Linked DNA regions of Xenopus tropicalis. The protein of the gene in region 2 binds, or shares a complex with, the protein of the main gene of each other region. Links are inferred from orthologs where the notes say so. Each region holds a gene or a part of one and is shown on either strand. Other genes may lie near its edges.

Region 1 (4,609 bases), on a different chromosome or scaffold from region 2:
CCTCCGCCTATGCAATCTCCCCTAACTGGCCTTCAGGCTGCCCTGTGTATGTAGCCACAGAATGGGCAATCTCCCCTAACTGGCCTTCAGGCTGGGCTGCCCTGTGTATGTAGCCACAGAATGGGCAATCTCCCCTAACTGGCCTTCAGGCTGGGCTGTGTATGTAGCCACAGAATGGGCAATCTCCCCTAACTGGCCTGCAGGCTGGGCTGCCCTGTGTATGTAGCCACAGAATGGGCAATCTCCCCTAACTGGCCTTCAGGCTGGGCTGTGTATGTAGCCACAGAATGGGCAATCTCCCCTAACTGGCCTTCAGGCTGGGCTGTGTATGTAGCCACAGAATGGGCAATCTCCCCTAACTGGCCTTCAGGCTGGGCTGTGTATGTAGCCACAGAATGGGCAATCTCCCCTGACTGGCCTTCAGGCTGGGCTGCCCTGTGTATGTAGCCACAGAATGGGCAATCTCCCCTAACTGGCCTTCAGGCTGGGCTGTGTATGTAGCCACAGAATGGGCAATCTCCCCTAACTGGCCTTCAGGCTGGGCTGTGTATGTAGCCACAGAATGGGCAATCTCCCCTAACTGGCCTTCAGGCTGGGCTGTGTATGTAGCCACAGAATGGGCAATCTCCCCTAACTGGCCTTCAGGCTGGGCTGCCCTGTGTATGTAGCCACAGAATGGGCAATCTCCCCTAACTGGCCTTCAGGCTGGGCTGTGTATGTAGCCACAGAATGGGCAATCTCCCCTAACTGGCCTTCAGGCTGGCCTGTGTATGTAGCCACAGAATGGGCAATCTCCCCTAACTGGCCTTCAGGCTGCCCTGTGTATGTAGCCACAGAATGGGCAATCTCCCCTAACTGGCCTTCAGGCTGCCCTGTGTATGTAGCCACAGAATGGGCAATCTCCCCTAACTGGCCTTCAGGCTGGGCTGTGTATGTAGCCACAGAATGGGCAATCTCCCCTAACTGGCCCTTCAGGCTGGGCTGTGTATGTAATGGGCAATCTCCCCTAACTGGCCTTCAGGCTGAACACCCCATGTTGCTAATTGTCTTTACTACAACTCCCATCACTCCCCCTAGGAGCTTATGCAAACACACCAATGGAAGGAAGCAGCTGTAGCTCAACAGCACCAAAACTCCCACAGACTGAGCTATATATATATATATATATATATATAAGGGTAGAAGGGAAGTCCCGCTGTGTCTCCCAATACTCACCTGTGCGCTCATTGACCCTGCACCACTTCTGGTTCTGGTTCCTCCTCCCTCACCTGAAAAGGAGCAGAAGCTGTGTTTGATAGACAGTCACATAAGCCAATCAGGCGGCGGCTTCCGCCAACTGACGTTGACGTTCCGGAGCGGTTTCCATTGGTGGTGACGAGATCCGGAAGTGACGTTCCTAAGGAACTTTGTTGACAAGAGCCGTGTGATTGTTGGTGTGACCGGAGTGGGACATGGTGTGCGATAAGTGTAAGTAACAAACCGGGTTTAATCTCGCTGGGTGTATTTCCTGGTACCGGGCAGCTCCCATAGAGCCGTGTTATGTGGGTAACGCTTACACCTGCCATTGGATACATTTGCCGAGCAGCTGTAAACCATGGCGTCCTGTTTATATTATCCTTCACATTCGTCTGCGCAACTGGCTGAGCAAAGCCAATGGCTGGTTGGTTGCTAGGGGTGCCTACTGTTAGTAATAAATAAAGCAGACATAGCTGTAGCTCTGGTTTATCCGCTGTTCGCAATACGTAGTAATATACTTACTGTGCTGCCGGCTATTACTATTCTCCCTGACTGTATTGCTCATTGTCACTATATATTCTGATTATCTCATTGACGTTTTTGGATACCTGTATGGGAGAATGTAATTACTGTTGTTTTTAAAGGGATAATGTCATGACTTATGTGGTATACTTTTTATTTCTAAATTACACTGTTTACATAGCAAATAATTCACTCTGCCATTTAAAATGTTATTCTTGAACCAACAAATGTATTTGTAGCTGTAATATTGGTGTGTAGGCGCCATCTCAGTGCCTTGTGCCTGAGTCTGAGCTTTCAGCCAGCGCTACACATTAGAACTGCTTTCAGCTAACCTATTGTTTCTCCTACTCCCATGTAACTGGAGGAGTCCCAAGCCGGACTTGGATTTCTTACTATTGAGTGCTATTCTGATACCTACTGGGAGCTGCTATCTTGCTCCCTTCCCATTGTTCTGCTGATCGGCTGCTGGGAGGGGGCGGGGGATATCACTCCAACTTGCAGCGCAGCAGTAAATTGTGATTGAAGTTTATCAGAGCACAGGTTACATGGCTGTGGCACCCTGGGAAATGAAGAATATGGCTAGCCCCATGTGAAATTTCAAAATTAAATATAAAAAAAATCTGTTTGTATATTTGAAAAACAGATTACAATGCAGGATTCTGCTGCAGAAGCTCTATTAACTGATGGGTTTTGAAAAAAACGTGTTTTCCCATGACAGTATTCCTTTAAGGACGTAGATAGGGATATGTGTGTGCAGGAGCAGCATTAACTAATGACGTGTATTTAATGACAGGTGAGAAGAAACTGGGCACAGTTATCACTCCAGACACATGGAAATCCGGTGCCAGGAATACCACTGGTAAGTTGTGGTGCCATTTAATCGGATTTGCATTATTGTGTATCAATCCACTAGCACTTCTTGCTCTTCCCAGTCTTTCAGAGGCAGAACTTTGATCCTATTATAAAGGCCAGATATTGTTTATATAAAGGCAGACTTTAATATTTATTTTTTTTGTAAAATATATGGTGACATTTAAGGGCTGAACCTGTTGTGCTGTGTTATTAAAGGCTTCAAAGTGTGCCTCTGCCACCTATGCAGCTTCCCTTAATAAGTACACAAGCAAAACATTTGTACACTAAAGGCTTATATGAATAAACTCATTGGTTAAAGGAGAAGGAAAGGTAAAAACTAAGTAAACTTTATCAGAAAGGTCTATGTAAATACAGTCATAAGCACTCACAGAAACGCTGCACTGAGTCCTCTGTCAAAAGAAACACAGGATTTCTTGTCTACTTTTTTGTAAACATGTTCTTAGGGTATCTGACTTTCTCTCTCAGAAAAATCCTTCATTCCTGTGACCAGAGTCAGTGCAGCTCTCTCCTCTCTCCTGCTCCCCCCTCCCATAAGAATTCATAAGACTCACTCCCCCCTCCCTTAGGAATGTGTAATCTGAGCTATAACGCTAGACTGCAAACAGGAAGCTATGGAGACCAAGCTAAAATGGCAGCTGCAATCTTAAAAAGAGAAAGCTTCTAGGGCTCTTTACTCAAGTATGGCAATGCTTTCTGCAGAATAAATATAGTGTTCTAGGTGGCACTAATGTGGCAAACCTATTGGCAGTTAAATGCCAAAATGACTTCTTCTCCTTTAATGCCTCCATGAAGTGCCACCAGTTATTATCTTTAGCCATTTTTTAACAATCTCTTTACCTGAAATGTTATCGCTGCATGTATCTAGCTAATATTAGCAGAGTAATGCAATTAAAAGCATTAACTGATATTTTTATTGCCTATTGTAAATTGATGATAAGCTATTTTTTTCTAAATAAATATGGTATAAAATACACTTTTTTGCTTGAAAAACAGTCGGTTTAGTTTATTCAGTGACTGGCTTACCCAAAGGAGGCTGTTTGAAGCCATGGCCACTTCCAGAGTCTTCCCTCCCTCCTCCAGAACTGCACCACCAGGGACCCCTAAAACTGCTCTGTTTGGTCTACCTGGTTAAGGCTTATTTTCAACTGGGGTGGCGGACTTTCATTTTTTGATGAATTGTTCCATTCACACGTAAGCCTTCTTTAGTGAATATGCCACTGTTTGTTTATTTTAATAGGCAGTATTTTTTTGTCTTGTTTTGGCACAACAGTCCCTGTCAGAATTAATGTTTGCTCAAGTAAAAGAAAAAATCCAAAATATTTCATTTGTTTGCCTATGGCCCCTAAGTCCTGGAGCTGGTAACCTCTCTATAGTATTATGTACAATGTTTCAAATGGGGGACTTGATGGGAGGCTTATATTTCTAATTTATTTAATTAAACAAACACATTTGGCTTCTGTGGGAAAGGATTATTACAGTATTCTTCTGGTTATTGATTTTTCTCTCTCTTTACACAGAAAGTGGAGGCAGAAAACTAAATGAGAACAAGGCACTGACATCAAAGACTGCAAGGTGAGTACTAATCACACAGTGTCTCCTTTTCAACTTGAGTTCAGTGTATAGGGTTTGCTGTGAACATACTTTTTGCCTATTGTAACTCACTTTCAAATATCCTCAAATATTTTGAGGATTTGTGACAATCACTAGGCTTAACTGCTTTACTGCAGCTCAAAGTAGATTGAGCATGTGCGGTGTCACTGACACCATAGAAATGGCCCAACAAGATCAGAATGATGGGGAGCGGCTGTGAATATCTCTTATTACTGTTATAGGACTGGGAACTTCTGGGCTTATACAGAAATTTCAGTACAAAGGAAACGGCATTTCTATACAAATTCTTACTTGATTTTATAAATGCTTATATTTTATATTTGCTAATGTTTAAAATGAATATGTTACATTTTTCACGCCTCCAGTT
Region 2 (4,653 bases):
GTGGGAGCAAAAGGCAGAACTCTGTCCATTCATTGGCTGATGGGGCCTAGCATGTATGTGTGCCTTGGCTTGTTTGCAGTGTCGGACTGGGACCCCAGGGGCCCACTAGAAAACCTTAGACCATGGGCCCACTCTCCAAATTAATTTTCCTCCTTTCCTCACTAAAACCACTTTATTCTCCTAGTCTGTTTTATTTACATGCTAGCATCTATTCTTCCATCTATTTCTTCTCTTTGTTCCCATTCAGAAATAGGGAATGACCATGAATAGGCCAAATGGTGAGGAGCAGGAGGGCCCACTGACCCCTGGGCCCACCGGGAGTTTTCCTGGTATCCTGGTGGGCCAGTCCGACTCTGTTTGTGTGCACTGTGAATCCCAGGGGGATAAAAGTGAGTTATAAAATACCCTATATTTAGCATCTGTGCCACTGGTCTTTTTTTTTACTTATTTTTAAATTATTTGCTGCCTTTTTCTGCCTCTCTATGCTTTCAGGCAGTCAGCCAGCCAAAAAACTATTGCTCTGAGAGGCTATTGTTATTCAGTACCATATCTCACGTGGTTGCTAGTTTAAATATGACCCTAGCAACCAGATAGTTGCAGAAATACCAAACTAGAGACGTGTTAACATCCCAATTCCTTATGCACATGATTTATAGCCATTTTACCCCTATATACATGTGTGGCGATATAAAGAGTAGAAGGCCATTGCATATTTATATTTGGGCTGCTTTTTACCCCCAGTCTGGCCCTGCAGCTTGGTGTTTCCATTTAACGTTCAATTTTCAGTGCGGCTTGGGCAGCATGCCACCCTAAGGGCTCTGGCACACGGGGAGATTAGTCGCCCGCGGCAAAACTCCCTGTTCGTGGGCAACTAATCTCCCCGAGTTGCCTTCCCCTGCCATCCCACCGGCGAACATGTAAGTCGCGGGTGGGATGGCACACGCGGCGGCGCGATTTCACGCAAATCGCCGAAGTTGCCTTGCGAGGCTTTTTCAGCGATTTGCGCTAAATCGCGCTGCCGCGTGTGCCATCCCACCGGCCACTTACATTTTCGCCAGTGGGATGGCAGGGGAAGGCAACTCGGGGAGATTAGTTGCCCACGAACAGGGAGTTTTGTCGCGGGTGACTAATCTCCCCGTGTGCCAGAGCCCTTAATCTGTTCCGCCCCGGGCCTGGGCCTTTGTTGCCTGGGTGTCACGTGTTTTCTATTGAAACGAGTGTCTGGAGGGGCGGGGTCAGACGGTATTGCGCCAATACGGCCCGTGGGCCATAGTTGTAAGAATTGTGTGAGCAGCAGATAAGTACCACAGTCTTCATTTTTTTATCCTCTGAGGTTTTTGCCACTTTAGCACTTCTACACTTTCCAATTTCCTGCTACCAAGTTGCCAACCTGAAGAGTGAGTAGGAGAGGGTCTGAAGAGAAAAATACATCATAAATATATAAATCTCAATACAAAAGTATACTCATAGCATGACATTTTGTTTATTTCTATTGTTCCCACCCTCACACTTACCCGGGTAATTCTGCCCCTAACGCTACAGTTCCGCCTCAGCGCTTTGCGCCTCCCTCACGCTTCCCGCCCGGAAGTAGGACGAGAACTGGCACCCGACTTGAGGCTTCTGCCAGTACGGTGACATCACTTCCGCCCACCCGGAAGCGCAGGTACTGCGGGCTGATAGAGAGCGGGGATGGGTGACGGGGAGTCGGAGCGGTTTCAGTACCTGCAGACGTTGGTCACTGAGTTCCAGGACACGGACAGTGTCGGTAAGGGAGAGAGAGGGGGAGATTTAACCCCATTCAGTTTCGTTACGGTTGTAGTTTTGTACCAACTCTCCGCATCATTTCCTCTTCTCATTAGTTTCTCCCCTTAATTGCTCAGAAGCCAAAGAGCAGGTCCTGGCCAATCTGGCCAACTTCGCCTACGATCCCCGGAACTTTTCCGACCTGCGGAAGCTACAGGTGCTGGACCTGTTCCTGGATATGCTGACTGAGGGCAATGAGAACCTGGTGGAGTTTGGCCTGGGTGAGAGAATGTACTGAAGTGCTGAGCCCACAATGTGCCCCCATGTGTGGCAGGAGGGTCACAATATAATGCAATATAATCTCAGCTCCCACCAGCATCCTCCCCCCAGCATCCTCCCACCAGCATCCTCCAGCTCCCCCCAGCATCCTCCTCAGCATCCTCCCACCAGCTCCCCCCAGCATCCTATCCCAGCATCCTCCCACCAGCTCCCCCCCAGCATCCTTCAACTCCCCCCAGCATCTTCCTCAACATCCTCCCACCAGCATCCTCCAGCTCCCCCCAGCGTCCTTGCCAGCATCCTCCAAGCTCAGGGGACACATTGACTTGATGGAGGCCCTGAGTGTAACGCTGGCCCGAAATCACAGGCCTCTCAGCTCCCCCCAGCATCTTCCCACCAGCATCCTCCAGCTCCCCCCAGCATCCTATCCCAGCATCCTCCTCAGCATCCTCCCACCAGCTCCCCTCCAGCATCCTTCCCAGCATCCTCCAGCTCCCCCAGCGTCCTTCCCAGCATCCTGCTCAACATCCTCCCACCAGCTCCCCCCCAGCATCCTTCAGCTCCCCTCAGCATCCTTCAACTCCCCCCAGCATCTTCCTCAACATCCTCCCACCAGCATCCTCCAGCTCCCCCCAGTGTCCTTCCCAGCATCCTCCTCAACATCCTCCCACCAGCTCCCCCCCAGCATTCTTCAACTCCCACCAGCATCTTCCTCAACATCCTCCCACCAGCATCCTCCAGCTCCCCCCAGCGTCCCTACCCAGCATCCTCCCACCAGCTCCCCCCAAGCATCCTCCCACCAGCCCCCCTCCAGCATCCTCCCACCAGCTCCCCCCCAGCATCCTTCTCAGCATCCTCCTAAACATCCTCCCCCCCCCCCCAGCGACCTACAGCGACCAATCAGGAGTCAGCGGACCGGATTAAAAAGGCCAATGGGCCAGACATGGCTTGCAGGCCGTAGTTTGCCCACCCCTGATATAATGACTCCGCCCCAATCTCCAGTTGATGGACAGTATAGTGAAAGTGGCTATAGGTGGGCAGTGGGTAGATGCTTAAATTTTCTGCTTGATGACAGTGGGACGGACCATTGAAAAAAAGCCAGTGTCAGACTGGGGGCCCCTCACTGAGGGTGGAGGGCCGATGTTGCTGGCAGGGATCAGGCCTGGGTTGGTGGGGCCCACTGGGATTTTTCTCATTGTCCCAGTCTGTCCCTGGGAAAAGCCCAATATGCAACCTGGCACTGGAGGGGGGGGTGGCAGAATCAGTAGGTTTTATCAGCCCATCTATGGCCACCGTGTACCACCCCCCCCAACCCCTCGCCTGTCATTGGTCTCTGACAAACACGGCTCTGGTATATTTATCGTTTTCACTACAAACTTCTGTGCGATCCTTTTATACCCAGATAAACATCCTGTGTTGCGAATATAAACATTGGGTGCAGTGAAAGCCCAGTTATCTTGTATTAACCACTTCCAGCAGGACGGAAGGATATTGTAGGTTTGGGCAATATGTTTTTTTCCATCTTTCCTATGGGATCCCCCCCCCCCCTAAAAAACATGTCCTCAATTTCAATTGTGATCAAACCCCCTGTAGGTCATAATGTCTTTGAAATTGTTAGTTTGCCTTTAACCATTCTCTCTTTTCCAATAGGGGGTCTCTGTAATCTCTGCCTGGACAAGACTAACAAGAGTCACATACTAGACTCCGGGGGGCTGAAATTGGTCATCAATTGCCTGTCCAGCCGTCGGGAAGAGACGGTGCTTTCGGCGCTGACCACACTCATGTTCCTGTGCACGGCCGCCTCCCGCACTGAAGTGACGGCTCCTGCTGTGGTGGAGTGCATGGTGCGCTTCTCCCTTTCCACCAACCGCAGGATCAGCAATTTGGCCACCATCTTCCTGCAGGATTACTGCAGCGATAAGCAAGTGCAAGAAGCCAAAGAACTGAGCCAACATTCGGCATTGGGAATCCCGCTCCCTGAATCCACGCAGCACCCCATCTGACTCCCGTGTCGGACATTTGCACCCTACTAGAAACAGATGCAGCATGGCTGTTCTCGGAGTGTGACAAACTCTGTGTTTGAAGTGCTGGTCACTTTCATGATCATGAAACAAGTTTGGGAGACAAGTGCAAGCCTTGCCGGACTGCAGTCCCCTGCAAGATACTGTTCCGTGATTCAGTTATGGACTGACCCCATGGTCCCTCGTGTATTTATTTCTACTGTATTAAAATCATTAAAGAGGAAAAGCACTCGGTGCTGCTATCTACACTGCTATCCACTCTTCGTGAGTGGCCAATGGTTGGCGAGATTGTACAGTTGTGTTTCTTAGCTCTCCCCAGCAAAGCTTCATGGGTTATTCAGGGTCCATGAAAGGGGTGGGGGAACCTTATGGTAGGGGGTGACACTTGGGTGGATCATGGGGAGAGTTTTAATATAATTGCAGTGGATTAGGGATGTGGCTATGCATGTGAGGGGATTCATTTTACCTGTTTACAAGGCCTGGAAGCACAAGAGACTGGTGAGCTAATAATTGAGGGGGCCCTGCTAGCTTTTAAGTATGGGGCCCATGAATACCGATGCTCAAAGAGTCCAATAGCCAAAGATCCAAAACACAACCAAAATCTGGAAGG
Region 3 (2,702 bases), on a different chromosome or scaffold from region 2:
CCACCTTCTTGAGACAGGACAATCAACAAACTGAATTGTAGGGGGATTTCAGACTCTGTCTCCCAAGATTGGAGCCTGAAGAGTTTCACTGTTTGTTCTGCTTTGAGCAGTGGCTCATCTAAACCTAGATGTTTGCATTGACATCGTGAATGGTAAGAAGTTCACTTTTCTGTTCTCTAGATTGGAGTCACAGGCACCATGGGATGATAAAGATCCTGAAAGCATTAAAAGTGACTCCTTTTTCTGCTCTAGGCTCTGTCTCCTCTCTTTCCTCAGATCCTTAGTTTCATTTTAGTAGTGATGCATCAAATCCATAAATGCAAAATCCTTTACAAAAGGCTCAACAGAACAACAAACCAAATACCATACTGTATCATAATATGCATATACAAATTTGTAAAAGATCACCATTTGTGAACAAAAAAAAAACATCATGACTTTCAGGATTTGGATTTTTTTTGACTACAGACTTGAGATTTGACTGTATGCTTTGTAAAGTTATAGGATTTGGTCACTTCCTAAAACGAATCAGGTTTTGGGAAACAGGCCATTCCTCTGGTTTCTTGTTCAGTGTTAGTTGCCTATACTTTTAGGCATGTTCTCTATTTTAGGTTTTACTGTTGTTGTTGGGTTTTATTTTGGGTAGAGGTAAAACATTTGACTCTGTGTAGGGTCTCCCCTTGTTCAGTCCAGGAAACTGAAGATCTGAGGGTAGCATGCTGGGGATAAAGCCTAGAGGAAGCGGAGTAGTAGCTACTTTTTAGTGTCTTTTTTTTCCATCTGCAGGCATGGTGCCTATCCTCCCAAATTTAAGAGAAGAGAAAATAATTTGTTATGATATTTTAAAAGTTTTTCCTACATTTTGTTTAAATTTACCAATGGCTGTGTCCTAATTGTTGAATATTCTTCAGGTATGGTGAGGTGGTAAATATTAATCTGGTCCGTGATAAATCTTCAGGCCGTTCCCGTGGCTTTTGCTTCTTGTGTTTTGAGGATCAGAGAAGCACTGTACTGGCCGTGGATAATCTTAATGGCATCAAGGTAACAAATAACATGTTACAATACTCATAGGGCTAAAGTTTATCCAGATGACTGCATAACCCATTATGTATTTTTATGCATGTGAGGTCCCTCTTTATTGTTTATTAGAATACAATATCATTGAGGACTCAGAGATACACATAGATGTAAGGGATTCCATTCGTGTTTACAATATTTTCTTCGCTTTTAGCAGCCACCTAAAGATCATTCAATAGGCTCACTAGAAAGAGTTCTTCCTATTATTGTTTATTCCATGTTTTTTTCTGTATTGTCCATCTCTTGCTTATGCTTTTGCTTCTGTGGTCCAGGTTCTTTGGGGTAACCTGTGCCTATGGTACTTCCCCCCCCCATAAAGATTGTTTTATATAAAATACAGGGACAGCTTCAAGGTCTGCTGCCGTTTCCCAGCATCCTGACATTTCACTACCTGTATTTTAATGATTTTGGCTACAATTTGAGAAAAACCCTGCAAAGAAGACCTGATAACCTTATATTACCACTCCCCAACCATGCCACTTATTCAACAGTGTTTTTGTCCTAAACATTTTTTTGCCTGTTACCAGAAAAGTGGATTTTAGTTATTCTTACTTTGGGAATACCATTCTGTTTATTCAGGTAAAGGGGCGCACAATCCGTGTAGATCATGTTGCCAATTATCGTCCTCCCAAGGATGCAGAAGACATTGATGAAATTACACAATCTCTTAGAGAAAAGGGATGTGGGGCACGAACGCCATCCCCAGTGTCATCCTCACAGGACGAAGACGAAGAGCCACCAAGGAAAAAGAAAGGTGTTTTATCAGTAGTTTTCTAATAGTGTGAACTCGTTACAAGTAGCAAGGGATGGATTGCTTATACCCCCCCCCCAAAAAAAAATACAATCACTGTTATGTTTTCATTAAACAGGAGAAGTATCCTAGAATACAATATTTTAATTTACCTAAGCACATTTAACCTTTCAAATTGGGGCCTTTTTTTTACCTATCATGCTGTTGCCTTATTCACAGCATTAACTAGTGATGGTAGCAGGAAAAATTATCATATTTTATTACAATTTCCAATTTTACATTTGCCATTATTATTATAGTCCTGCTGGTTGTTTACAGCTGATCTGTGTATTTAATTCTTCTGCTAAACTAAATTGATAGTTTTTTGTTTTTTCATGTTAGATAAGAAGAAAAAAAAAGACAAAAGCAGGAGGAAAGAGGAAGAGGGTGGCAACAGCAGGCATAACAAACAAGAACGTTTGGATTCCCCTTATGACAGATCCAGGACAATTGAGAAGTTTTCCAGGGTGGGAAGTGAGAGCTCAAGGGCCATGGAAGAAAACCGTGGCTCTCACAAAAAGAGTAACAGCAAAGGTGATTCCCATGATAAGTACAAAGAACAGCACAAGGAAAAAGAGGAACGCAAAGAGCGAGAACAACAAATGCCAAGAGATAAGTACAGAGAGCAGCAAGAGCAAAGATCAAAAGACAAGACAGAAAGAGGCAGAAGGTAGCAGAAGAGTATGCTTTATGGGGACAATAAGAGGTGGAACGTCTGTGCAGTGTTTAAGCCCAAGTTGTTATTAAATACATACTAAGGACCCTTGGTGTACAGTGTATGGAATGATGCATGGGAGAAGGATTTTAAGAAGTAAAAGGCAATTGTGATGTACTG

What was found. Proteins that work in one complex are often made in the same cells at the same time.
Region 1: armc7 (region 2) and cript share a complex: the UniProt entries of both Homo sapiens proteins name them as parts of the minor spliceosome. The link is inferred for Xenopus tropicalis from reciprocal best matches to the Homo sapiens genes ARMC7 and CRIPT.
Region 3: armc7 (region 2) and rbmx2 share a complex: the UniProt entries of both Homo sapiens proteins name them as parts of the minor spliceosome. The link is inferred for Xenopus tropicalis from reciprocal best matches to the Homo sapiens genes ARMC7 and RBMX2.

What each region holds. Positions count from the first base shown.
Region 1 is NC_030681.2:19,971,989-19,976,597, forward strand, and holds the start of cript (cysteine-rich PDZ-binding protein), read left to right. Parts: upstream 1-1,449; 5' UTR 1,450-1,451; coding exon 1,452-1,467; intron 1,468-2,551; coding exon 2,552-2,617; intron 2,618-4,148; coding exon 4,149-4,203; intron 4,204-4,609. UniProt on the Homo sapiens protein: As a component of the minor spliceosome, involved in the splicing of U12-type introns in pre-mRNAs. Involved in the cytoskeletal anchoring of DLG4 in excitatory synapses.
Region 2 is NC_030686.2:44,365,944-44,370,596, forward strand, and holds armc7 (armadillo repeat-containing protein 7), read left to right. Parts: upstream 1-1,617; 5' UTR 1,618-1,689; coding exon 1,690-1,765; intron 1,766-1,769; exon of another isoform or gene 1,770-1,859; coding exon 1,860-2,024; intron 2,025-3,672; coding exon 3,673-4,025; 3' UTR 4,026-4,627; downstream 4,628-4,653. UniProt on the Homo sapiens protein: As a component of the minor spliceosome, involved in the splicing of U12-type introns in pre-mRNAs.
Region 3 is NC_030684.2:38,934,650-38,937,351, reverse strand, and holds part of rbmx2 (RNA-binding motif protein, X-linked 2), read left to right. Parts: intron 1-911; coding exon 912-1,041; intron 1,042-1,656; coding exon 1,657-1,831; intron 1,832-2,209; coding exon 2,210-2,541; 3' UTR 2,542-2,702. UniProt on the Homo sapiens protein: Involved in pre-mRNA splicing as component of the activated spliceosome. As a component of the minor spliceosome, involved in the splicing of U12-type introns in pre-mRNAs.